4 linked regions of the Schizosaccharomyces pombe genome follow. Changing the gene in region 2 together with the main gene of any one other region gives a genetic interaction. Each region holds a gene or a part of one and is shown on either strand. Other genes may lie near its edges. The genes, in order: tip41, gad8, gpa2 and aly3.

Evidence for each region.
Region 1: of gad8 (region 2) and tip41, changing one suppresses a phenotype caused by changing the other (phenotypic suppression), as found in Schizosaccharomyces pombe (one study listed by BioGRID).
Region 3: of gad8 (region 2) and gpa2, extra expression of one rescues a mutant of the other (dosage rescue), as found in Schizosaccharomyces pombe (one study listed by BioGRID).
Region 4: of gad8 (region 2) and aly3, changing one suppresses a phenotype caused by changing the other (phenotypic suppression), as found in Schizosaccharomyces pombe (one study listed by BioGRID).

Annotation. Positions count from the first base shown.
Region 1 is NC_003421.2:1,145,228-1,149,884, reverse strand, and holds tip41 (TIP41 type 2a phosphatase regulator Tip41), read left to right. Parts: upstream 1-2,655; 5' UTR 2,656-2,743; coding exon 2,744-3,502; 3' UTR 3,503-3,670; downstream 3,671-4,657. Other genes in the region: anillin-related medial ring protein Mid1, read left to right, coding at 1-2,432; ubiquinol cytochrome-c reductase assembly protein Cbp3, read left to right, coding at 3,978-4,657. UniProt on the Schizosaccharomyces pombe protein: Involved in negative regulation of the TOR signaling pathway in response to type of available nitrogen source. Activates the PP2A phosphatase ppa2.
Region 2 is NC_003421.2:910,768-917,277, forward strand, and holds gad8 (serine/threonine protein kinase (AGC family) Gad8), read left to right. Parts: upstream 1-1,732; 5' UTR 1,733-2,349; coding exon 2,350-2,371; intron 2,372-2,442; coding exon 2,443-4,130; 3' UTR 4,131-4,471; downstream 4,472-6,510. Other genes in the region: SPOM_SPCC24B10.06 (uncharacterized protein), read left to right, coding at 81-231, 297-492; SAGA complex subunit Ada2, read right to left, coding at 4,615-5,928. UniProt on the Schizosaccharomyces pombe protein: Involved in a signaling module for sexual development and cell growth under stressed conditions. Required for G1 arrest under nitrogen starvation and for growth at high temperature and osmolarity.
Region 3 is NC_003424.3:2,514,426-2,521,330, reverse strand, and holds gpa2 (heterotrimeric G protein alpha-2 subunit Gpa2), read left to right. Parts: upstream 1-2,091; 5' UTR 2,092-3,015; coding exon 3,016-3,136; intron 3,137-3,299; exon of another isoform or gene 3,300-3,541; coding exon 3,542-4,485; 3' UTR 4,486-5,278; downstream 5,279-6,905. Other genes in the region: SPOM_SPAC23H3.12C (hydrogen/potassium transport protein), read left to right, coding at 5,458-6,138; SPOM_SPAC23H3.11C (glucosidase), read left to right, coding at 6,482-6,905. UniProt on the Schizosaccharomyces pombe protein: Alpha subunit of the heterotrimeric guanine nucleotide-binding protein (G protein) involved in glucose-induced cAMP signaling.
Region 4 is NC_003421.2:1,518,758-1,525,531, forward strand, and holds aly3 (arrestin-related substrate adaptor Aly3), read right to left. Parts: upstream 4,564-6,774; 5' UTR 4,435-4,563; coding exon 4,379-4,434; intron 3,839-4,378; coding exon 3,689-3,838; intron 3,628-3,688; coding exon 2,049-3,627; 3' UTR 1,599-2,048; downstream 1-1,598. Other genes in the region: mug160 (ATXN10 family protein), read left to right, coding at 159-1,463; SPOM_SPCC584.16C (uncharacterized protein), read right to left, coding at 5,760-6,455.

The sequences.
Region 1 (4,657 bases), 230 kb from region 2:
CATCAGTGTTTAAGAGGATTAATTCCGAGGAAGAAGGTCGCATTCCTAGTTTGACGTACTCGGCAGGAACTATGAACTCGACAAGTTCTTCTACTGCGTCTTTGAAAGGTGCTGATATTGTTGCAGATTATGAAACATTTAATCCGGATCAAAATTTAGCTGAATTATCCTTTGACCGCTCCAAATCGTCTCGCAAGAGGGCGGTAGAAGTAGCAGAATTTAGTCGAGCTAAGACAATGTCTCCGTTGGAATACACTGTTCAACATCCATATCAATCCCATAATGAACTGTCTACAAACCCAGCCCGAGCAAGAGCTGGAAGCGTTCCCAACTTGGCTCGCATACCATCTGATGTCAAGCCCGTACCTCCAGCACATCTATCTGCATCTTCTACTGTAGGTCCAAGGATTCTTCCTAGTCTTCCCAAAGATACCACAGAGGACAATCCAGCGTTGGAAAGGGTCGAAACGACGGCGTCTCTCGATATGGATTATAAACCTTTAGAACCTTTAGCTCCCATTCAGGAAGCCCCTGTTGAAGATACTTCAGAGCCTTTTTCTTCAGTCCCAGAGGCCACCTTAGACGACTCAGATATCTCTACAGAAAGTCTTCGTAAAAAGGTTTTGGCCAAGATGGAAGCAAAACGGATTTCCAGTGGATCTTCCTATGCTAGTACACTTAGGAAAGTTTATGATTTCTCTGAGCTTTCCCTTCCCACCAACGGTAAAGACTATGATGAGTTATACCTTCAATCTTCCCGTAATTCAGAACCTGAGATTTCTACTATTATCAATGATTCTTTACAACAGGAAAATATGGATGAGGATATTAGTGCCACTTCAATTCCGAAATCTCAGGCCGCCTATGGTCATGGATCTGTAACGTATCATGAAGTCCCCAGATACAATCTAACTTCTGCTTCCGTGGGATATAGTATATCTAGTCAACGTGGTCGTATAAAAAGCAGTTCTACCATTGACAATTTGAGTGCTATTTTAAGCTCTGAAGATTTACGTCACCCATCAATGCAACCCGTACCAGGAACGAAGCGTACTTATAGTAATTATTGTGAAAATGAGCCAAACAAGTCTAGCCAAAGTTTAGTCAGTTCTGAGTCCCATAACGTCGAAGGATGGAATTATTCGGAAACTGGTACAGTAGGTTTTTACGACCCTAGTGCCGAGATATCCGCCAGCATTGATGAACTTAGGCAGTCTACGCCTGTAGCCAGAGATAGCGAACTTTTAAGTCGTGCACATTCCTTTGATTTGAATCGCCTTGATCTTCCAAGTCAGGATAAGAGTACGTCTTACGAAGTCCCGAATGGTACTGAAAATCAATCACCACGTCCTGTTACTTCTCTTGGATTTGTGAATGAAACATTTTTTGAAGAGAAACCAAAGGCGCCCTTGCCACTTGGTCGCTTTTATATACATTTGAACAGCATTTTGAATATTTCGATAAGTGAAGTCCATTCACCTATCAAGATAATAGTTAATACGCCTACGCAAAATATGCAGCTTCCTTGGCAAGCTGTTAATGGGAATAATAGGTTGGACCATGATTTTGCTTTTCATGTTGACGATAACTTTAAAGTGAGTTTTATGTTTCTTGACATCCCTATTGAGGACAAGTCCAACGGTTCGAAAGGAGTATCTGCTACAAAAGACGTTTCAAACGGTAAGCCTGCTGAAACGAAATCCAAAGCTAGGAAATTTTTTGACAAGCTTTTCAACCGACGCAAAAAGAGAAAACTCAACAAGGCTGCTGCAGTTGAGAATTCAAAGGCTAAGAAGTCAGTGGTTATCAAGAAAGTCTCGGGTACTGCTACGTTAAATTTGGGTAATGTCAAAGACAGTTGTTTTGGAAAGGCTTTCAACGTAGAAATACCCATCATTTCCAGAGGCTTCTTGGAAGCGATTCCTGTAAAAATAAACTCTATAGGGAAACGTACACTTGGTAATCTAACTTTGACTTGTTTGTATATTCCTGAGCTTTCGGTTCCAGAGCAGGAATTGCCATTTACCTTAGAACAAGCTACGATGGACTTGCGACACGTTAGAAGTAACTATCTATATAATGAGGGATACTTGTATAGATTGGAAGATTCATCTATTCGAAGACGTTTTGTCGTTTTACGCTCAAAGCAGCTGAATTTTTATGCTGAAAAAGGTGGGCAATATTTGGATACTTTTCAGCTTTCTAAGACAGTAGTTTCAATCCCAATGGTAAATTTTTCAGAGGCAGTTTCAAACCTCGGTCTAGTAGCTGGAATATTGGCTACATCTGTTGATAGAAGGCATGTTCAGTTGTTTGCGGACTCTAAAAAGGTTTGCCAAAAATGGCTTCAGGTGATGAATTCACGCTCGTTTGCTCTAGATAGGGGTACTGAGAAATTATGGTTACAAGAATACGTGAATTTTATGGCTTAATATCTGAATTTATGAATACTAATCGTCTTAATGTATTTTTTGAATAATTTTTACTTATCGGATTTACTAAATGAGGGAGTTGAACTGAAATTATATAACTACTGAATTAATACTTATAGATCATTTTTCATTTTTAATCTGAATAATTAATCAACTTTTGGTTTTTTGAATATACTCTATAATGAGTAAAGTAATATAAAGGTGTTTTGTGTTGGCTAAATTTACATTACCTATATTTTGCCGTACGCACTCTAAATTGTTACAATAATATAGGGGTCAAGCAACTACTCAAATCACATTATTTAAAGGAGATGCAAAAACAAGATGATTTTTCATTTAAATATTGGACTATCAAAGTCCAACGGGGGTCAATTTTAAAAAGCCATGAGATGGAGAACCTTCAAAGTACATTGGGTTTTCCACCTCCTGAGATGACCTTTGGGAATAATTACATCTCAATTGAATACAAGAATCAGCCTGTAGTTGGATTTTTTACTGAAGATGCTCTTAAAATGGTTGGTACCAAACCTGAAGATGTAATGCAAGTTTCTTTTGCAAAAGACTGGGCCAAATCCAGAATTAAGCCCGGAGAAGAATACCCTGTGATTTACCCATTTGATTGGACTTATTATACTGATTATCAGGGAACTATACAACGTCCAAATGCAAAATTCATTGAAATTGATCAGGTAATACCTGTTCAAAAAATACTTAACGCAGGACAAAATTTATGGTTCAATGAGATAATTCTTTTCGAAGATGAGTTAGCAGATAATGGAAAATCAATGTTTGATGTGAGAGCTCGAGTTGTTCAGGGTCATTTAATATTGTTAGCACGCCTTGTCGTACGTTTAGACAAGGTAAATGTTCGATTGAATGAGACGAGGATATATATTGATTTGTTGAATGATTTTCTCTTGAAGGACTGCCGTAAAAAGCAAGCTACTTACGACAAAATTATTAAACAAATACCTGTGGGGGGAGACAAAGCTGCATTGCTAGATGATAACAATTGGTTAAGTGAGCGCCTTGATACCGTTGACCATAAAATCTATAAATTGAATTTTTGATGCTAAAATGATTCGCTAATGGCAGACATGAGAATTTAGAACTTTTGTCAACGAATGAGTGTTGAAGCAATTTACAAGTTTATTACGTTTAGTTCATGGTAATATTTATAATCATTTTCAACTAAGAGGTTATTAATTTAGGTTTTCTAATTGAGAAAGCAAAATAAATAGATACAATCTTTGGTACGATTAAACGGCGAAGATATACTACTGAAACTGCAAACAAATTTAAAATGGTCCAGTAAATTTTAGAGTATACTTAATTAGGAAGAATGATGGCCTCGTAATATTGATCGTTCGTTATAACATTGTATTTGGCAATCAACCTGTCACAACCTCTCTTCCCCTTTATATTGTACGACATTAATCGATCCGTTTTTTATTTCAACCCAACTCCTACGTATTTATTTGCAGGTAATAATTAATTTTATTAATTAAGAAAAGATTATCAAAAGATCCTTATCGTCATTCAGTAATGAGTCGCTGCTGTTTAAATTTGCCATTGAGACCAGCATTTGTTAAGCAGCCGGTATGGGGGAAGAGTATATACGGTCCCTTAAGAAGAAGATTTTCATTTTCTCCAATAAATGTTATTAATCATTCACCTTCGGAAACGAAGAGAAGAGACCCAGTAGAAGAACTCAGATACAAACCCCTTACACCTCCTCAAGATCCACGTAAAGTGGCTCCGCCAAATAGTTTTCTAAAGAAAATAAGTCTTATTTATCAAAAATATATCTCTCCTAAACAAAATTTATATTATGAGGCTACTGGTACTGCAAGATACATGTATTTTGAGGCTGCTCGACAAGCTACCCCCGAAAAAAACTCGCTAGGTGCTTTTGAATTTTGGTACCAGAAGTGTGAAATTCCTATGACATTTCAGTCTTGGTTTCAAATAACGCAATTACATTTGTGGATCCTCCATACTCGCATTCGTGGTTTGCCAAAAAATGAAAAAGTTGCCTTTTCACAGGCATTAACTACTCGTTTCTTTGAAGACATGGAACTCAGAATTCATAAAGATTACCGCATTAATAGCAATCGAATTTCTGGTATGTATCTGAAAGATCTGTTTCAGCAACAGACCGGCGCCATTTTTGGTTATGATCAAGGAATGCTGGGAAGTGATGCTGTTTTGGCTACATCCGTTTG
Region 2 (6,510 bases):
TTTTACATCCCTTCTCTATTCTCTATGTCTCTGTCTTTATATTTTGTGACTATGTGAAATAGCTAACTCAGTATATTTAGCTAATCGTGTTTTGCCCTCAAAAATTCCTTTGACCCCATTTGTTAAGAGGGATGATGATTCTAGTTCAACTCAGGCAAGTTACTCTACTACTGTGAGCGATGTTGTGATTGTCACCGACAAATCTTGGTCGGATGGTGTAGAAACCATTTTGTAAGTCATGCTTGTCATTTTATGGAAACTATTTGTTTGTGTAAAATTACTAATATTATTTTTAGTCCTTATAGTTACACCGAATATCAACCATCTACTACTTACACTTCTGCACCTGCCGGATCCATTGGATACGCAGCATCCATTCCCAATACAGGGCGCGAATTGATGGAGAGTGGGTCCCCTGTCCGGTTTTCCAAGAGTTCATTATTGATTGTTTCACTCTTGAGCATTGCTGCTTTTGCCGCTTTAGTCCTTTAAAAATTCAACCGGAACCTACCCCCTAACATTCACCTGAAAATTTCTCTTTAGGGATTTTCTAAACTTAGATATAGTTTTTGATTCTACTTTACTCTTTTAAAATTTTTGTTGCTACTTACACTGTCAATTCTATATCTGCGCTCGATAACCGGTTTCTTTTTTTAGGCGCTTTGGCAAACTCGTCTCATCCCTTTAAATAAAACACACAAAGGGAGCTCTCTGTGAGAAAATTCAAAACTCTGAAGAAACATCGCTTTTACTAGTGAGGAGCCTTCTAGAAGTAACTACGAAAAGAATTTGCTTTTCTCATGGGTAAGTAAGGGTTTGCCTACAGTTGAGTGAGTCATCAGTTTCAACAAATTTCGTTCTTTTCATAAATTCATTGTTCATGTTTTATTTCTGTTTTATATGTTATTTTATTTTATTTTATTTGAAAATGTTTTTTGTTTTTCAGTTCTCTTTGGATTTATATACACTTTGAAGGACTTGTACGAAGCGTCCAGTGTATTAAAAGTAGAGCATTGGTATACAAATTGCTTTTCCGTTAAATTGCTTTATCTTTTTTTTTCGCTTGTTGCACAAGGAACTGAAATTTTACAAAACGCATCGTACTTGGAAGTTGCAAAAATCTGATGGAAGGCATAAATAAATGACTTGTTTTGTAAAGAGGATATTGCAATCCTAACGGTGGTATTTACATGCTTCTATAATTATTTTAAAACAAATAAAGTTAATTGGTCTGCTAAGCTACACATACGCGTAAACGGCATTTTGCGTTTGTCCGCAGATAATTGTCAAGATAATTATTTGTATTGTTTTGCTATATACTTCGTTTTGTAAATTGATCCATTTGAGTGCTGTTTCTTGACACGTGTAGTATAAATCCTATGTTTCAATTTAGGTCACTACAAACTTGAGCAAGTTACCACTTACAAGAGTACACCAGCACTTTTAATTTCTCTATATTAATATTCCATCTTTTTGACATTACTAAGTTAACTAATTTAATAGCTGATATGTAAAACACCATTGCAAAGAACTTTTATATATAGTGCAATCGTACGAGAAAAGGGTCTATAATTTTTGATCATTATACGACAAACCTGCGTAATGTGCCGACCGTATCGGTAGCTCTCCTTATAATATTTTATCGAACTCACGTTGTTCTGCCGCAAAAAGCTGCTGTCTTGTACCACTTGTATTTTAGGAATACGGATGATCCGAGCTGGCCACATCTACTGACTGCCAATACGACCTAACAAAGGGAATATCAAACGAAAGCATTTTTGACATCAAATTTTATTTCATTGACTTTAACGTATTTAGTGCTGTCGATTGGTTTCAATTTCGTCAAAATTTCCGCGAGGTGAAGGCGACTTTGCTCAAAGTCGTAATACCAAAATCGGCTTAGAAATCGACTTTATCAACGAAGCATTCCTTTAGTAGGGATTTTGGAATAAAAGAGATTGCGATTTATTTTGAATTTTAAAATCAACACCCTTGCTTACTACTTATCGGGATTAGATTTCTTTGACGAATTTACTACTATACTGACATTACCAAACGCCTGTATCCCCTTTCGTTTATTCAAAAAAAATTGCAACTTGTGCTTACTTTTTATTTTATTTTTTTTTTGGATTTGATTTGATTGTTCGTTCGTATTCGCTTACTGGTACACTTCCCGTTTTTGTCTTCGAATTAGTCCATAAATACGTTTTTTGTTAGATTGAAGCTTTTTTGCAGCCTCGTTACCTTATTCTTTATCATTTTCGTTATATTAAAAGAAAAGATAGAGGGAAAGCGAGCTTTTAAAAATCAGTTCATTTTTTTTTTCTACTCCAAACAGACGTTACCGAAATGTCCTGGAAACTTACAAAGAGTATGTATTCCATAATACGGGTTATCACACTCTGTCTTTCTTTTTCATACTAACAGCTTTTCGCTTTTTAGAATTAAAAGAAACTCATCTAGCATCCGCTATTGGCCTGAACTCTGGCGGCTCTAGTTTTACTAGAGGTCTGAAAAACAGTACTTTATCCTCTACTTCTTCTCGTAAATCAAGTGATGAAAAATCTCGGAAAAGCTCGGAGGATAAACGGTCTCCCCAAAGTACCGTCGTGCAGCCTGGTTTATTGCAGGTCACAATTATAGAAGCTAGAAATTTAAAATTACCGTCGGGACATGTTCCTGCCAACTACGGGGTTTCCATTGACAATTCTTTACTTGCCCCTCCACTTAGTAATGGCTCGGGACACGCAAGGTCTCGTAGTCATGCTTGGTGGTTACCTTATATCGTCGTTGAATTCGACAAAAATGAAATCTTAGTAGATGCTCTAAATACTGCAAGCCTTGAAAATCCTTGCTGGGATTATCAGGCAACTTTTGACGTTTCCCGTTATTCCAAACTCTCCCTGAATATTTACCTTCGTTCTTCATCCAGCCGCTCGCGCAACGGTATGGGGAATGACGCTTTCCTAGGCGGGATTAAACTGTCGCCTTCTTTCATTGTAAACAAGCTTACAGACGAATGGGTACCCCTGCATGGGGGTAGCGGTGAACTTCGTGTTCAAATGCTTTACAAACCCAATCAAAGTACCCCTTTAACCATTGATGCATTTGAACTATTGAAAGTGGTTGGCAAAGGCTCTTTTGGAAAAGTCATGCAAGTGCGTAAGCGTGACACTTCTCGTATCTATGCTTTAAAAACTATGAAAAAAGCCCACATTGTATCTCGCAGTGAAGTAGATCACACATTGGCTGAGAGGACAGTACTTGCTCAAGTTAATAACCCTTTTATTGTTCCATTAAAGTTCTCCTTTCAATCTCCCGGTAAGCTGTATCTTGTCCTGGCCTTTGTTAACGGTGGTGAGTTATTTCATCACTTACAAAGAGAAGGCTGTTTTGATACATATCGTGCCAAATTTTACATTGCTGAACTACTTGTTGCTTTGGAATGTTTGCATGAGTTCAACGTTATTTATCGAGACTTAAAACCGGAAAACATATTATTAGACTACACCGGTCATATTGCTTTGTGTGATTTTGGACTTTGTAAGCTAAACATGGCTAAAACCGATAGAACGAATACTTTTTGTGGCACCCCTGAATACCTCGCTCCTGAATTGCTTTTGGGTCATGGTTATACAAAAGTTGTTGACTGGTGGACTTTAGGTGTGCTACTTTACGAAATGATTACAGGACTTCCTCCTTTTTATGATGAAAATATAAACGAAATGTACCGAAAAATTCTTCAAGATCCCTTGCGATTCCCAGACAACATTGACGAGAAAGCAAAAGATTTATTGAGTGGATTGTTGACCCGCGCTCCAGAGAAGCGGCTGGGTAGTGGAGGGGCGCAAGAAATAAAAAATCACCCTTTCTTTGATGATATCGACTGGAAAAAGTTATGCGCCAAGAAGATACAGCCACCCTTTAAACCAAGCGTTGAATCAGCTATCGATACTAGTAATTTTGATTCTGAATTTACATCGGAAATCCCAATGGATAGTGTTGTTGCCGATTCTCACTTATCTGAAACCGTTCAACAAAGGTTTGCCAATTGGAGCTATCAACGACCAACAACCATTGATACATCCGACGACATTAATACAATAGCACCTGGAAGTGTCATTAGGTGATGAATTTGACACTTCTTTGTTTATTTTGAAAGTTTTCTCATTTTTACTCATACATGCCGCTTTTCTTGCCTCTTTTACATATTTGTATGTTATAAAGGCCAAAGCTTCGTTCATTTCTCATTATTGTCATCTTTTTTTGTCGTACAAGATCATTTTCTATTACTATTATTATTATCATTATTATTATTATTATTACTGACAACCTCAAGTCTTTGAAGATTATTTATTTTTTGTCAGCTGAGAAAAAGTCTCAGATATTGTTGGATGTAGTGTTTTTTGTTCTTGTAGTTTCCGAAATTACTAGTGTAGAAAATTGATGGAAAACTCTTTTTAATTATTAAGCATAAGAACGTAACGGCTATTGAAAAGGGAAAAAAAGACGGAGATGTAATTAAAGGTGAAGGGGTAATTAGTAAAATTACATTTCAAAACGTAAAGGTAATAAACAAGAGTAATATGAAAAAGGTAAAAGAAACCAGTACTTTTAGGTTGGAGCGCCAATCCACCGAGCATTATGGAAGAAGTCGTACACCTGTTCGACTTTATTAGCGTCTAAGTGTTTAAATAAATTAACTGCATCGGTTTTTTGAAATGGTTTTTTGGAAGTCAGTGAAGCCGATATTAAGGCAAATTTTAGAGCCAAAAATGGTTTAGGGAAAATCTGCAGTTTTGAGCAAAGCGCTTGCTCATCCTCTGAAAGCAGTTGCCGATCAGCGGAAGCAGAAAACATTGTGGGAGTCGCTGGTTTTCGAGGAACAATCTTTTGAATGTCACGAACTTGAAAAGGAGCGGAAGTGGTTTGGTTAAACGACTTAACATGCCTCAATTGCTTATCATATGAAGCAGAAGCTTTACTTAAGAGGAATTTTTGCGTTTTATCGCGTTCATATTTATGTCCTTGTTCGAGTGTAGTAAGACCCATCTGTCGCCATTCCTGTAAATCAGAAATTTGTTTTTTTAGGGTTATTTGCTCGTGATAGCTGTTCACGAACTTTTGGTAATCAGGGCCCGTCAAAAGTCGAGCAAATGCTTTTGTTTTATTAAGTAAGTTTCGTTCCTCTTTTGACATGCGCTTCTCATTCGCCTGTAGCCGTCGATAATCTAAAAGGTTGTGATTGAAAATGGTTTGTTTACGAACAGCCCGACGAGTAAGACGGGAATTATATATGTTAAGCATAGTCAGCTTAAGTTGCATTTCATGCTTTGCTGACTCGTGTAAATCGTCATCAAAATTCATATCCTTTATGGGCAGTTCAGCTTCGTTCATGTACTCTTGATCAAATTCAAGACGGCCCGGCATATAGCCTTGGATTTCGTGGCATTGGGGTGTAGATGCTAGAGGCTTTTGAGGAATAATCGGTGGAGGCTGAAAAGCTTCAATACGAGCTCGTTTCCGTGCCGCAAATGCTATGCGATCCACCGGTCCAGGGAGCTCTACGCTTGCTAATGGATAGCAATCCGACTCAATATAGGTTTTCAGATAATGATCCCGACATTCTTCTTTCGTCCGAGCATTTCCCACATAGTCTGCAATGTCAGCCCAGTTTCCAAGGCCCAGTGTTTCACAAGCATCGATTAGTAAGAGTTCCTCATCAGCACCCCAATTTTCGTCGAAAATAGGGTATGAATTGGTTTCAATAATCCTATACGGATGAGACGGATGGTGAGTTCCTAGGGAGGCACCAGATGTAAAGCAGGGGATGCACAAATCGAAGTCAACACATTCTACGCACCGAATATGAATGGATCTTGTTATATCTTGGGCGCAGACGTTGCAATGATACTTTTGAGGAGGCATCCTGCTTCATGTGCAAAATTTTTCGTCCCTATATGGTGGAGCAAAGTGATGATCCGATGCGTAGAATATCAAAGAAGCTTGAGTAAAATGAGAAGTAAAAGTTGGATTTCAAATATGAAAATTAGATCATTAAACTTAGAAAACTCTTTTGAATACGATTTATTAATAATGGTGGCTGAAGTTGAAGTTTTTGACTTTTCAATATCACCACCAGCAATTACTAAATACGATCGAAACGTGATTGCAATCAGAAAATAAGTTAAAATTCATTCACTGAATAGTTATTTTTGTTTAATAAAAAAATCTGTTGCGTTATATATGGTTTCTTTAACCGGAAGACGGCTTCTGTCTGTCGATAAGGTAGAATCAGAAAGAACTAACTCAGAGTATTAAAAAAACAAGAAAAAAGCAATTCCGGCTTATCAAACGAATCGATTCTGTAAAAATATCACAAAGTTGACATTTACTGGATTGAAGGTCTTTTCTTACTGCCGAAGCGAATGTTTATTTCCCTTTCTCATTTTGAAGAGCACCTGCACTGTCTTGTGCTATGCGACTAACAGGTCCAAGGTTTTTCTCTAT
Region 3 (6,905 bases), on a different chromosome or scaffold from region 2:
ATTTTCTAATTTTTGGAATTATAAGATGATTTTTTATTTATTTTCGTACGGCCTTTGGATAAGCCAACAGCTTCGTTATAAGAAGTAGTAGTCATCAAGTCGAAGGTTATACGGTTACGCGGTTATGGACGAGAGTAAGCATTGGGTTATACGCTTACAACAAAAAATAAGAAAGCTAAAACTCTTGAAAAGAAATAAAAGCCACAGCGAAAGAACAGTAGCTGGAAAAACAGTTTCTTTCATCGTTTTCACAATAGATTAGAAAATCAGAAAGTCGGTTGTTCATGATCCACTTTTTTGCACACTGTAAATATAGATATTGGACATATTCTCAACCAACTGGCAAAAGAAAAAAATTAGGAAAAAACAAGATTACTCTATATTTTTTCCGTTGTCTTCTAATATTGACTTAGCTAATGATTGATTTATTCAATTATTTTCTTATAATAATTTTTTGAATTAAATTAACATAGTTTTATTTTAAACTGGGAAGCGCATCTTGCTCATAATTCAAATTATTGCCCTAAAACCAACATGAAACAGATCCGGCAAACTAGTTTCCACAATATATCGGGATATATCAAGATATGCAAGATATATAAGATACACATATATAAGAGATATAAGATACATATTCAATAATTGTCAAGGATACCTATAATCAAGCAAAAATTAAACTTACGCAAATAAGAATTTCATCTTTATAAAAAAAAAAAAACCATCAAAAAACAAAACAATATAAAAACCCTCCCACTACATGTGAATATCTTGGAAGACTTTTTTTTATAACTAGTACATGCTTTTATTAGTATGTAATGAATAAATGAACGAACAACAACGGATTGACTTCAGTACCACATAAACATTACGAAACCTAGCTAATTCTATCTCACCTGAAGATTATTTTATTTTAGCGGGGCAAATGCAGTCCTTCCCGAACCTCCAAGACTAAGTAACCAGCAAGTAACGGCATCAGGATATCTTACCATTCTTACCCATTAAATTTAAGGAACCGAATGAAATTAGGAACGATGAGCAGTTTAACAAAGTCCTCCTTATTTTTTTTGCGTTGAAATGTAGTTTGTAGTGTCAAGCTGCTTTGTGCTATTTATCGAGCAATGAGAAATAGGAGAGGAGTTATGGTAGCAGGGTATACTTAGTAATGTTTTCATGGACCAAGCGGGGGAGGGGCGAAAAGCATGTCTAGTTCGCTGTATTCAGTTTCAAGACCCCATTTCATGTTTAACATTTGTTCTAGATACGCAAAAATCCCTTTTTTCTAGATTGTTTGCAAGTCCCCATGTCTTCTTTTTTTTATACAGCTGAAAAATTTTCCGACTGTCAGGTAAAACTGGTCAGTTGCGAAAACATGCTTTGCTTCATCTTGGTACCCAATCGTCTATGGATTTTTTATATGTTTCTTTCTAGCTTTGTGATAGCTGCCCACGCTTTGCGATCAAGTTAGTTGCCTTATCCCTTGTGCACTTTACTTTCATATCTGAGTAAATAAGTCTCCGTAACTGGAATTGAACTTGGTAAAATTGGGGCTTGAAAATTTAAAATATTATGAAAGTGAACAAACTCAGATTGGGAAAACACTCATTAAACATTGCTTGGAAAGATTGCGCGTTTTTTGGAACACTTCCTTTGGTCATCTTTGCTATCCCGATTGCTTGCATCTTCAGCCATAAACAAGGGACGACTCATTGAGTTACTAGAGTAGTAATAGAGCAGTATAGTTTAGTAGTATAGAAATGCTGGACCAACCAGTTAATGACATATAAACATAAAACATAAAAAACTATTTTGATGAGCGGCGCTTCTCTATGCGATACTTACATAGAATGCAAAGCTCACACAGGTCTCAGCTTACTGCCTGCTCCCCTCGCCCAAGGTCATAATCGAAGAGTAAGACTTACACTCCAATCTTCTTTACTTGAATGATGCTTGTTTGGTGGTATGTGTTGGATCCTTTTCCAATGTTACATTTTCCGAACTGTCCTCTCTACCCCACTCGAAAAATTAAAATCGTAAATGGATGATGCATGACGTAGTGCCTCATAAATACAAATTATACCAGAGTTGCCGTCTGTCTTTTTCGAAATAGTATAGACGAAATCACCGCTCAGGTACCAATCTAACCATAGTTGTTAGCTACTTAAGCTGTTTGAAGCATCAAAACGCTTGCCCTTTTGCTGCTGCTTGTTGGATTTAGGGTAGTGTGAATTGAAAGTAAGGATTTAATTGTACACTCGGTTAGTTGGACAGTAGTAAGAATTGAGATATTTTGCCTCTAATTCTTCTTTCTTCCTTGTACAATTCTTAATTTTTTTCTCGTTCATCGAAAGACGACGAGAAATCAATTTTCACGAGTTTCTCATTTGTCGCTGCATCTCTTCAACTGATTTCAGCCTTTTCTTCTTGCCTTAATCAACCTTGGTATTCACTCGTACTCACTGTGTCAATTAGCTAGCCGGCTAGCTTCCGACCTGCGATCCTTCCTCATTCTCCTCCACCCCCTGCTTTTCGAGGCATCTGGTGAAACTCAAAAAAAAGTTGAAATTGCGATTTAAAGGTCGCCCATAAAGGGGGTTAATCAAACTTTGCGCGTATAGTTTAGTGACTGACTAATCAATATTTTGATTATTGATTCCTATTCTGTAATATCCCCTTTTGACACCCGCACCCTTGTTCCTACTTAATCATACTTGCTACCTCAACTTTTTTTTTAATACTTTTATTTATTTGCGTTTCACTTTTCTTTCTAACTTGCTCTCTTTCCATTTTATTATTTAATCTTTGCTTTAATTGGGAAAAGAACTGGATTGAAGGCTTTTCTTGGAAAGTCCTCGCCTCTCTGCTGCTACACCTTACCTACCTGCGTTTAACCTTCTTACTTTGTTTCATATTTATTTCTCCCATCTTATCCCAAAAACCCGCTAGCTGTCGGATTGAGAAGTTTGGTGTCCTACTACATCCCCGTATTTATATTCTGCAGTAGTGGATTAAAAAAAAATGACGATTTTTAATGGATTATCTGAAAGCGGTGAATCAAAAAAATTGAACAGCAAAATCGAAAAGCAGATTGAAAATGCCTCGAAGAAGGATAAAAAGATTTACAAAGTGTTGCTTTTAGGTACGTAAACTACTCAATGTTGTTGTTGTTGTTCAATAGTTATATATGCTTGGGCAGTCGAGCAAAAAAGCAGAAAAGATTGAGAAAAAAAATAAAGAAACGAAATGAGTGAAACTATTTACGAAACAGAGAAACTGTTTAAGAAATGACAGAAAATGGTTTGTCTAATTGCGTCTACGTTCTCTACTCTTGGTTACCCTTTCCCTTCAATACTCAGTCAGTGAAGGTGACTTTGATAACGTTCTTCTAGTTAACCACTTTTCGTCGTCGTTGCATGTTGTAATCAGTTGCTCTACACTCTTACCGTTTCTCTCCATTGCATAGCACAGATTTTTTGTTTGATTCCTATAGCAAATTTTCCTTCCTTTGTTTCTTACAATCGTCAGTCTAACCATTGTTTTCTAGGTGCCTCCGATAGTGGAAAAAGTACCATCAGTAAGCAAATCAAAATTCTCAACAAAAATGGGTTTAGTCAAGAAGAGATTATGACATTTATTCCGGTGATCCGACGAAACCTGTTGGAATCTGCTAAAACCCTTGTTAAAATTATCGTTCAAAAAGGTATCAACTTGGACCCTTTAGGAACCCACAATTGCGAGATAATCGAAAAATTTAATCCAACTCCTGGTGAGCTTATTAATGCTAATATTGGCCAAGCTATTACTAGTCTTTGGTCAGCCAATAGTGTTAGATCCTGTACATATGGAAATGATTCCGTACTCATTGACTCTGCCCCTTACTTTTTTTCGCGAGCCGATGAAATTTGCAGTCGGCATTATGTCCCTACAATAGATGACATTCTCCGGTCTAGAAATAGTACTCTGGGTATTTCGGAAATATCGTTCACATTGGATCATTTGCAAATTCGAATGTTCGACGTTGGTGGTCAAAGAACCGAACGAAGGAAATGGATTTATTGTTTTGAAAATGTGAATTCAATCATATTTTGTGTTTCCTTAAATGATTATGATAAAAAGCTTTATGAAAGAGCCGCCCCAGAACGCAATCGTTTGGTTGAAAGTATTTCTTTATTCGACTCTATTATAAACAGTCAGTGGTTTATGCATTCTTCTATCATTCTGTTTTTGAACAAATTTGATTTGTTTCGGAAGAAACTGGAACATGTTCCGTTCCAGGATTACTTCCCCCAATATGAAGGTAAAAATTCTGTTAAAAGTATTACCCGGTATATTCTTTGGTTATTTGTGAACCCTTCTATAAATCGGGCTAAGCATAATATATATCCTCACATTACCACCGCTGTAGACACATCTAACATAAAGGTTGTCTTTTCTGCCGTTAAGGAAACAATTCTACAACACAGTCTGAAAGAAGCGGGAATGTTTTAATTTTAATTTGAAGATAAAATTTACCCTACCATTATTCATATGTTAACAGAAGACCTCTTACTGTCTGCATATGTCTAGAGAGTTCTGAAGCCTCCTTGTAAGAATCGCTTCTTTTACATTCGTTTATTTTTTTTTTTTAATATTGTCCGGAGTTTATTACACATGTTCTTTAAAAATATTTTTCCAATATATACATTGGCTGCTGGAATCTGAAATCACCGATTTGTCTGTAAGGAAAAGGATCGATCTCCTTTTCAGTTGTCTCAGAACGTTCACAGATTGCTATTAAATAATCTCTTTAAGATGACCAAGTTATACAGTTCTAGTTGATATAAATATTTTGTCATTTTTGCGAATATCAATTTGCATTTAATTTTTTACTTTAAACGATGCTGCTGGCGAATGCTTTTAAAGTTATTGAATACTTTCTGTTGAACATAGTCTTAAGATTGAGAAAGTAGATCTCCAGTTTTGATTCGAACATCTATCTCTGCTTTCAGAACTATTGCTATCACTTAATGCTGCTATTTATGAGGGTCGTAGAAAATCCGTTTGAGTACTAAGAGACTTTGAGTGGATACATGATTTAATCGCTTTTGTTTTAGTATTTAGTTTTTAATTGTTAGACTACTTGTATAGACTATTTCACTGAATCATCAAAATTGTTGTCTCTCTTTGTTGGCACCAGAGACTGATACTTTTTACCGACTTTCAGTATCTTTTCTTTAATATATTAATTTACTAATCAAAAAAGCTATTGAACACGTGTATTTCTGCCATGTATAATAAAAAGCCGCACTGTTCTGTATACGTATCAATTTGATTAAATTAGATAGTAATACTACTACATAGATATTCGTTACCCACTTTTAGCTTCTACTTTAGTATATCCACCCATCTTTGTGTTACTGCAGGTTTATTTATTTCAATATTTATTTTGTAAAAACAATTAAGTACATTCGTTAACTAATTATGAGAATTATTGCACTTCCTTTGCCAAATCAAAGGGTATTCTTACATTGTTATCCTTCTGAATACCTTGCCAAAAAAGTTACTATTCACGACAAAATTATAAACAGAATTTACAAGTATTGGGACTCCTGGAGTGCTTCAAAAAGCTATACCAAACAAAAGGTTGTGTCTTTGGGAAACCGAATTTTGCATGCAACTCCTTATGAAGAAAATTTTTTAAGGGCGATTGCTCCTGTTAAGAAGCTAAATGATACAGAATTACACCAAACTTTGTATATTGAACATCCTCCAAATTTGGAATCAAGTACTATTTTAGCTGAGTTGAATCGGTCCAAACAATTACAAAAGACCCATACAAATTACCTTATTGGTAATATTATTGGATTACCATTGACTATACCTTTCATTCTCATACCTCTAATACCAAATATTCCGGGTTTTTATCTTTGTTATAGAGCATACTGCAATTTTCGTGCTATTCAAGGGTCTATTCAATTAGCTCGGGTAATGAGCATAGAAAACATTCAAATGCAGGAAAGTGAAAAACTAGAAAAAGCATTGAAGTTGTTTACAAATGGAGATGCTACACCATTAAACGCTCTCATAGGCCACCCGGATTTCGTGGACCGCTACAAACGTGCCGTTGCTCAGGAGCAACGGAAATCAAAAATAATCAAATAAGAATATTTTTTTCCTTCTATTTTATGAAGTCCTTTGCATATAAAATCAATGACCTAAGTAGTGTGCAATCGTCGTTCCGGTCATAGTTATGCCATAACATTATTGCGCAGCTATGAGTAAAAAGAAAGTCCCAAACTGATATGAGGAGTGGAATTTTATATCAAGAAAACATCTTCCTTTTTTATTTTAAATATTAAAACTCCCATTCTTTTGTTCTTTCTCTTATTAGTGGTTGGCAATCGTTCATTCTTTTCTGGGGTTCTTTCTTTCTTTTAATCTTCTTTCCATCTTTCCTTTAAAAAATAATCTTCTCATATTTATATCTTGATTAATATATATTCTCATGGAAAAAGGTCATAGCGACTTACCTAGGCAGCCAGAGAGAGTTGCTCAAAACCCATTTTTGACATTTGATCAAGATAGCTTTCCTTCTAGCTATGGATCTTCTTTAAATGTTTCAGAGCAAACTTCTGGATCTTCAAGCACTTCTCCATTGCCTCAGATTAGTTGTTTACTTCGTAAGGACGATGTACCTTTAGCAAACAAAGAACTTTCTCGATCTCTCATTCATGTTCAAGAACTGAGTCGCTATCCTCCTTTTTATAACCAAGATCATCAACATTTAGGAGTACCGAGAAGCAGAGTGGGTTCTGATGTTTGGAAAATGAGGGAGAAATCTTTTTTAAGCCCATCTCAATTTAGTAGTATTGATTTAAGTTGGGTTTATCGATCTAAGGAAGAGGATGATGACTTTCATGATCCAAAAT
Region 4 (6,774 bases), 610 kb from region 2:
ACTCTATCAACAATTCGTACCTTCAAATAATTTGGGAAGGCTTATCCATTAAAAAAAAAAGAACTATTTTTTATTTACCTTAAGCCTTCATTGCTTCTGTGTGTTATCGTCTAATGAAAACAGCTATTGGTTTAAAACTGAGTTCAAAATAGGTAGATATGGAGAAAATGGAATCAACTGAAGAATGGGAAGCACTATTATCATCATCCAGCAACGGTGATGAGCTGACGATGAAGCTTATAAGAAACGGCCTTGCAAAGGGGTTTAAGTCTCAAAAAGCTGCTGGAGATGCCGGTCTTTATAGTCGGTTTTTACCTTATCACTTCACTGAGTCGGTTTCAAATGATAGTTTTTCCTCATTGCCATGGCAAATTTTTGCAAATTCTGTTGCTGGCAATTCGCCTCTGCAAAATGAAGCATGGGCTTTTTTAATGGATAATGAGGATTTTTTCCTTCCTGTTCCCATGAATCCTGCTCAGTGCACTGCGCTTGAAATAGCTCTATGGTCGCTCATAAGAGTGGATGATCAGCGACTTTTCGAACTTTGTCATTCGAAATCTGGTATACGATTGCTGAGTATCATTTTCGATTTTGACTCACATCCGGACTGGCTTCGGGAAGATGTAATGTTCAATATTGCTGAAAGAATTCTAAAGTCCAACTTCCCTAATGTTCTAGTAAATGTTGCTTCTAAAATTGGGCCTAAATCTATTTATTTCTTGATCGACTGCATGAGTCATAAAATTAAGCTAAAAGAAACCGCTACAGGATTTTATGTTATTTTAGATGTACTCTCTTGTGTTGGACGCCAATTCGCGTCTGTGTTAGAAGAATGTTTTACCAAAGAAATCTCGTCTGCCGGGCTTGACCATATTAATCATTTCTCTGAAATTGTTATGTTAGGTGTCGATTTATTGTACAGAGACTATGTTTCTTATGATACAACTATATCTTTAAAGAACGATGATTCAAGTTCGCTGGGTGATATGGAATTTGAAACGAGTCAACCGTCTTCTTCGATCAGCGAAATAATTCATTTGCTTGCCGTACTTGACAAAAGAATTCCCAAAAAGACCCTTGTTGAAAAAACATATGCTTCCTCTATGGAGTTACAAGAACTCTACAATGCTGTTGTAGGTGTAAAGCGAGAATGCGTTAGATTTATCGCTTTTATTTGTTCCAAATTTAGTACTGCACCTGACTTGGTCCGCCATTTCAATGGTGTTGCTTTAATTATTTCTCAAGCAAATTATGATGATTGGAATCCGTATATCCGCGAAATCTCAGTACTCTGTACTCGTTTACTTCTTCAAAATAATATAGAAAATCAAAAGATTATAGGGGGTTTAACTCCAATTACAACTACACATTCTGATGCATTAGAAGAGGCAGGTTTCACATCATATATCAACGACAAAGGAAAGGTAGTTTTGCAACCAAAGACAGCAAAAAACTCTCATTAATGAATCTGTTTTATCGAGTTTATGAACACCTTTTTTAGTTCTTTATTTACTGATGCCCCAAAAATTCAAATCATCAAATCTCATTAACAAAAGGTTAGCGCAAGGTTACCAAATCTGTCAATTCTTCATTTTAGCTGGTTCAATAACAATTATAGTAATACTTTGACTCGACTTTGTGAATATTTATTTATTAACTTGATTCGGTATAAGTAATTTAAATATCATTAAATATCGTATATAAGCTGCACAACTTTTTCAAAACTTTTCATACCAAATTCGCTAATAATTTGTATGCTTGACATGCTGTAATCATAATTTTTCATGCTTTTTCAGATTATATATTTCGGTAAGATAATTTCAATGTTAGCAAATAATATGCAATTGAAAACATAGAATGCGAACTTTGAGTGTTTTTGGATTCAATTCAGACAATCCATATTTTGGAAAAAAAGGCGTCACGCATTTTCACAAACAGAAAGATCAATGCTTAAAACAAACATGCTTGTAACCCAATTTACTTTTAAAATCATTAAAATTAATGATCTTAGATCATAGGGAATGAAAATAAACCACTTTAACAGACGCTCATCGAACTCCCCTTCGAACGAGATTTGTAGAAGAAAGACTTTTCCTAGTTGCCATAGGATGGGAAGGAAGCGGAGGCGCAGGAGTTGAAGGAAGCGCTGGTGCGATGATAGTGGGTACAGGAGATGGCGCTATAGTCGTCGTATTACTAGGAATCTCGACAGACTCAGTAGGACTTGAAGGTCTTGTAGCTTCTTCATAACGGGGAAGCCCATCAAGCGGCAAGACATTAGTAAACGCACTGTGAGCTTCGTAGTACGGAGGAATTTTGCTCAATTCCTGTACATTAAGGGTACATGCGCTACGTACACGAGGTAACCTCGAATTACTGCTGGTTGGAGAAGGAAGTGGTGAAAGCAAATCCGTTTGTAATGGTTGCAACTGAGAATTGAAAACAGAAGAGGCACTGTTAGCTCTCGTCCTAGCGGCTCTCCGCGTAACTCCTGAAAAAGGTGCTAATGGAGAAGTTATTGGCGACATCATATCTGTCTGCTCACTAGACATAGACTGTGGAGAGCTTCCAAAGAAAAAATTGGCATTGGAATTTGAAGCGGGAGAAGACGGTTGTTGTCCAGAAATAGGAACTGGATTAGAATGAATATTCACTGGACTGTTTGGACCGAAATCGGAAGAATTCCTACGACTTAAGTTAGGAGTAGTAAACCCGCTTTGCAACTGTGGATTTTCCGAGGGTATGCCATCCCACAATACATCAAATACATGCTTGTCGTAACTTGGAAGAATATTTTCATTCACATAGGAATTGTGATCACCAGTGAATACTCCTTCAGTGGGTCGAGCACCAAACATCACTGGGGATATAACAAGACTTAAAGGTAAAGAATTCCGTAGTTCTGATACATGGCCATCAGGGTTCAATAACGAAATGGACAACCTTAGTTTGTGATGGACTCGGATACAATTTAGGTCACAGTCTTGAGTACATTCGCCAAGGGAATCTGGAATCTTTACCATAATTTGGTCTTGCCAATAATCATCCACCATTGGTAATCCCGGAATGGTCTTCTTTACTAATGCACGCTTAAACTCCTTTCTACATGTAGAAGAATAGGCCTTGGAAGTAATAAAAAGCGTACAGTATTCTTTAAGAACTAAAGTCACTTTTCCTACATCAAGGCCTTTTAATAAAGGATACAAAGTAATGTTAACAGGTATTTCTGAGCCAATTGCATACACCTTAGATGGAATACTTGTTTCATAATTAACTTTAAGGGGCCAAATATCACTTACGCTGACTGAATGCATAAGATCAAGACTATTTGGAGGAATAGTCCTAATAACACGAAACTGCAGAGCAGTTTCTAAATTGGTAGGAGGCTGAGTTGCCCGCTCCAAAGAAGCAGTGAGTGTATAGATAATATGACATCCTGGAATTCCTTCAATTGAATCAGGAATATCTGGAGGGAGCTCGTAATAAAAAGGATACTCGTAGTTTCCTTGGTCAATTACTTTAGCTGACTCGTTGGGAGCAAGGAAAGACCAGCTTTTATCCAGAATTTGTACAACTTGACGTCGAATTCTGTTACCAGGCGATGCATGACGGGACTCATCAGCCCAACTATAAAAAAAGTGTTAGCCCTAAGTGAGGTTAAGTTATTAATGGGAGTTTTAAACCATACCAAACGAAAGAACGGCCACTTAGCCGTAATTTAATATTCTTTACCCGAATGGGGGAAGATACAGAAAGAACTACGATACCTGATAATCGTGCCGATGTGTCCATCGAGTTTCCATATAGCACAATCACATTAGCCTCTGCATTGTAAAGCCTACAAACGAGAAGTTAGCCAGTCTGATGCGTATATATATAACAAGAAATATTTAAGATAAATAAATGTGTCAAAAGTAAATCAAACGCAGTATATAGAAAACTGAAGCTTAAAATGTTTACAAAACAAAGATGGGGAAATTTAAAAAAAAAATGTAGGGAAATAAGTAGAAAACTTAGAAAAAGTATTAAAAAAGATGGAATAAAGACAGCGCTTTGTAAAGAAAAAAAAATTTTCTAAAAAGCGCCTACCCGTCCAATTCCTTCGGCCATTCCGAAAAATGCCGATTTTCAGAAACAATCAAATAGCAAACTATTGAACGAGCAAATTGAATCAATTTCAGATGTTATACTAACTTGATGGCTAACTAAAAGCTTTTTTCAACATCCGAAGACTTAAAACCTAAACATTAATTCGAAAAATCCCCAAACACTATTTCGTAAACGGAAACAAAGCAATTATAAAGATGTTGCAGAGAGATTAACCACTATCCTGGCCTCTCAAATCTTGATATAAACACGAAAAAGAGTGATTTCTTACCGAACTTCAAAGAGCTTTACGGGGCTTTTGTGCCGGCCACCTTTAATCTTATTCATTCATAATAAGTTCTGGTGCTGTACCAGATTTTGTATCTCTGAATATCTACGAACAGATTTGAATCCAAAAAATCGGAAGGAATGTAGCAATTTTCAACCAAAACGGTTGCGGGACTGAATAGGGTGGATGGTGTAAACAATTAAGTACTTTAAAGGTATATATGAAAGCCTTTGTCATACACAACGATAGCCGTTAAGCCTCGTTACCAGCCTTCAGTGGTCGGCGGGTTGCCAGTGCATTAAATCTCATAATATGAATACCTCAAATTTTTGGTGGAAGTATGGGTTAAGGTCTTTTAGTGTTTTTATTAATTACATTTTCATGAACAGAAGGAGTGCTTCCTCGATATTGGAGGAACATATTGAACGTTCCGATTTGTAAACATTTCCTTGATATGATTATACCTTGATGTATGTACGACCACATCGTTACTTTTTATACTAATATTAATATGTGAATGAAAGACTTATATTGTTATCGGTAAGCTACCATCGAAAGAGGCTCAAATGTTAGTACAATGCATCAAATGGGAATAAATATAGAGTTGCATCCCCCTACCCTTTTTGGAACTGTTAAATTATCGCTACAATTCTGTACTAAAATAACGAGAGCTATGTACGACTATTAACATTTGGTCGAATTATATTGTTAGGGCACATAGGAATTACTTATAATATTGAAAAGGTGATTTTAAAATCTATAAGATTATATTAAATTTTTTAATCTAAAATTCAAAAAAATAAACAGATGAGAAACAGCTATTCAGTTGGATAAAATGTTATGCTTCATTAAAATTAAGAAAATAAACAGCAGCTATAACAAATAAAAAATTGTCACGATAGTAGACACGGTCGGTATCGTGTAAACCAGTCGGAAAGGAAGAAAATTTTGGTAATTTATGAAGGGCAATGCGGGCAACAAAACGACTCATGAGTAGCTTTTTTAAAAACGATGGAACGTTTTATTTTTTTCGGTCTATAAGTACTTTGCTACTGGGATTTTTAGGACATCTTTGGGGTATCAAAAGTAAAAGGTGTGGACGGAGAAAAGCTTCAATTTCTAGACAGCAGTGAAAGGTTTCATGAAGGAAATAGATTGGCAATAAATATATATGAAATTGAGAATAAAATGCGTAATAAGCACATCTTTAATGACGCGAAAATCATCAAAAGGAAAATGCATGTCAATCCAATAGAACAAAAATAAAAATAGTCCCAAGAATTTATAAATAACAAAAAAGAAAAAGAACGCCATTATTATTATTTATTAAGAAAAAGCATAAAGATAAGGAATAAGCAGAAGTTCCGCACGAATACACATTAATTCACGGTTTTGGAAAATAATTGGGCAATAAATTTAGTAGGGATAGTTGAACGCATAGAGAAGTTGACAAAATAACCATTTCAAGTTCACGATGAGTAATGATGCGGTTACTCAGACCCACACTTCCCCCTTCAAATTGTAAGGAACGAGACGTTAAGGATGCTAAAAAGTAGGATTTTTTAACATCTTGAATATGCAAATAACACTTCCAAGTTTCATTAAGTTTTGCCTTGTCAGGAGCAACCCACTTAATTCGTAAACTGTTTTCGATACTAAACGATGCCAGCATGTCAAACACCCATTCGTTTTTTGTACAAGATATTGTCCAAGGTAAATAATCCTTGATATGGGGACTATAAATTTTAATAACGACTTGACTCGATCCAACGTGTCTTTTACAAAAGACAGCAGAAGTCTTATTTGATTCAGAGGAAACATTATCCAACACCAAGTTGTGCGACAAAGTATGGACGGAAAAACGAGAGTATAAGTTAAAAACGGGCTCAGCTGTGATTCCCTGTCGTTTTACTTGAACGACAAGGCTGTTTAATTTAGGTCGTAGAAATCCCAATGGTGGTGCATGTGGAAACGCGAGAAGGAAAGATGGCAATTCTGGCATTGGAGGTGTTTGTCTTTTCCTTGAGCTTCTTTTACTTGCAGGAGAGGAAGAACCACTGGAACTTGATGAAGAAGCCATTATGATAGAGAGTTAATTATGAAGAAAATTGTGAAGAGAAAAAAATAAAATAAAATAGAATAAAATAAAATAGAGTAAGAATAAATATATTTAAGGGACTCCTCTTTGTCTATTAGTAAGGATTTAAGGGCGAGACGACTAAGAGAACGAAAAGTGGTAAAAACAATAGCGATATCCGTGAAAAGAAATTCTACCCACTATAAAATCTCCCTTTCTATACCAGAACTATTGCAACCAATTTGCTATTGCCACAGCAATTGGGGAATTATAATATTAAAAACAAAAACCCGAAAGCTGAGTGAAACAGCAAACAATGAAA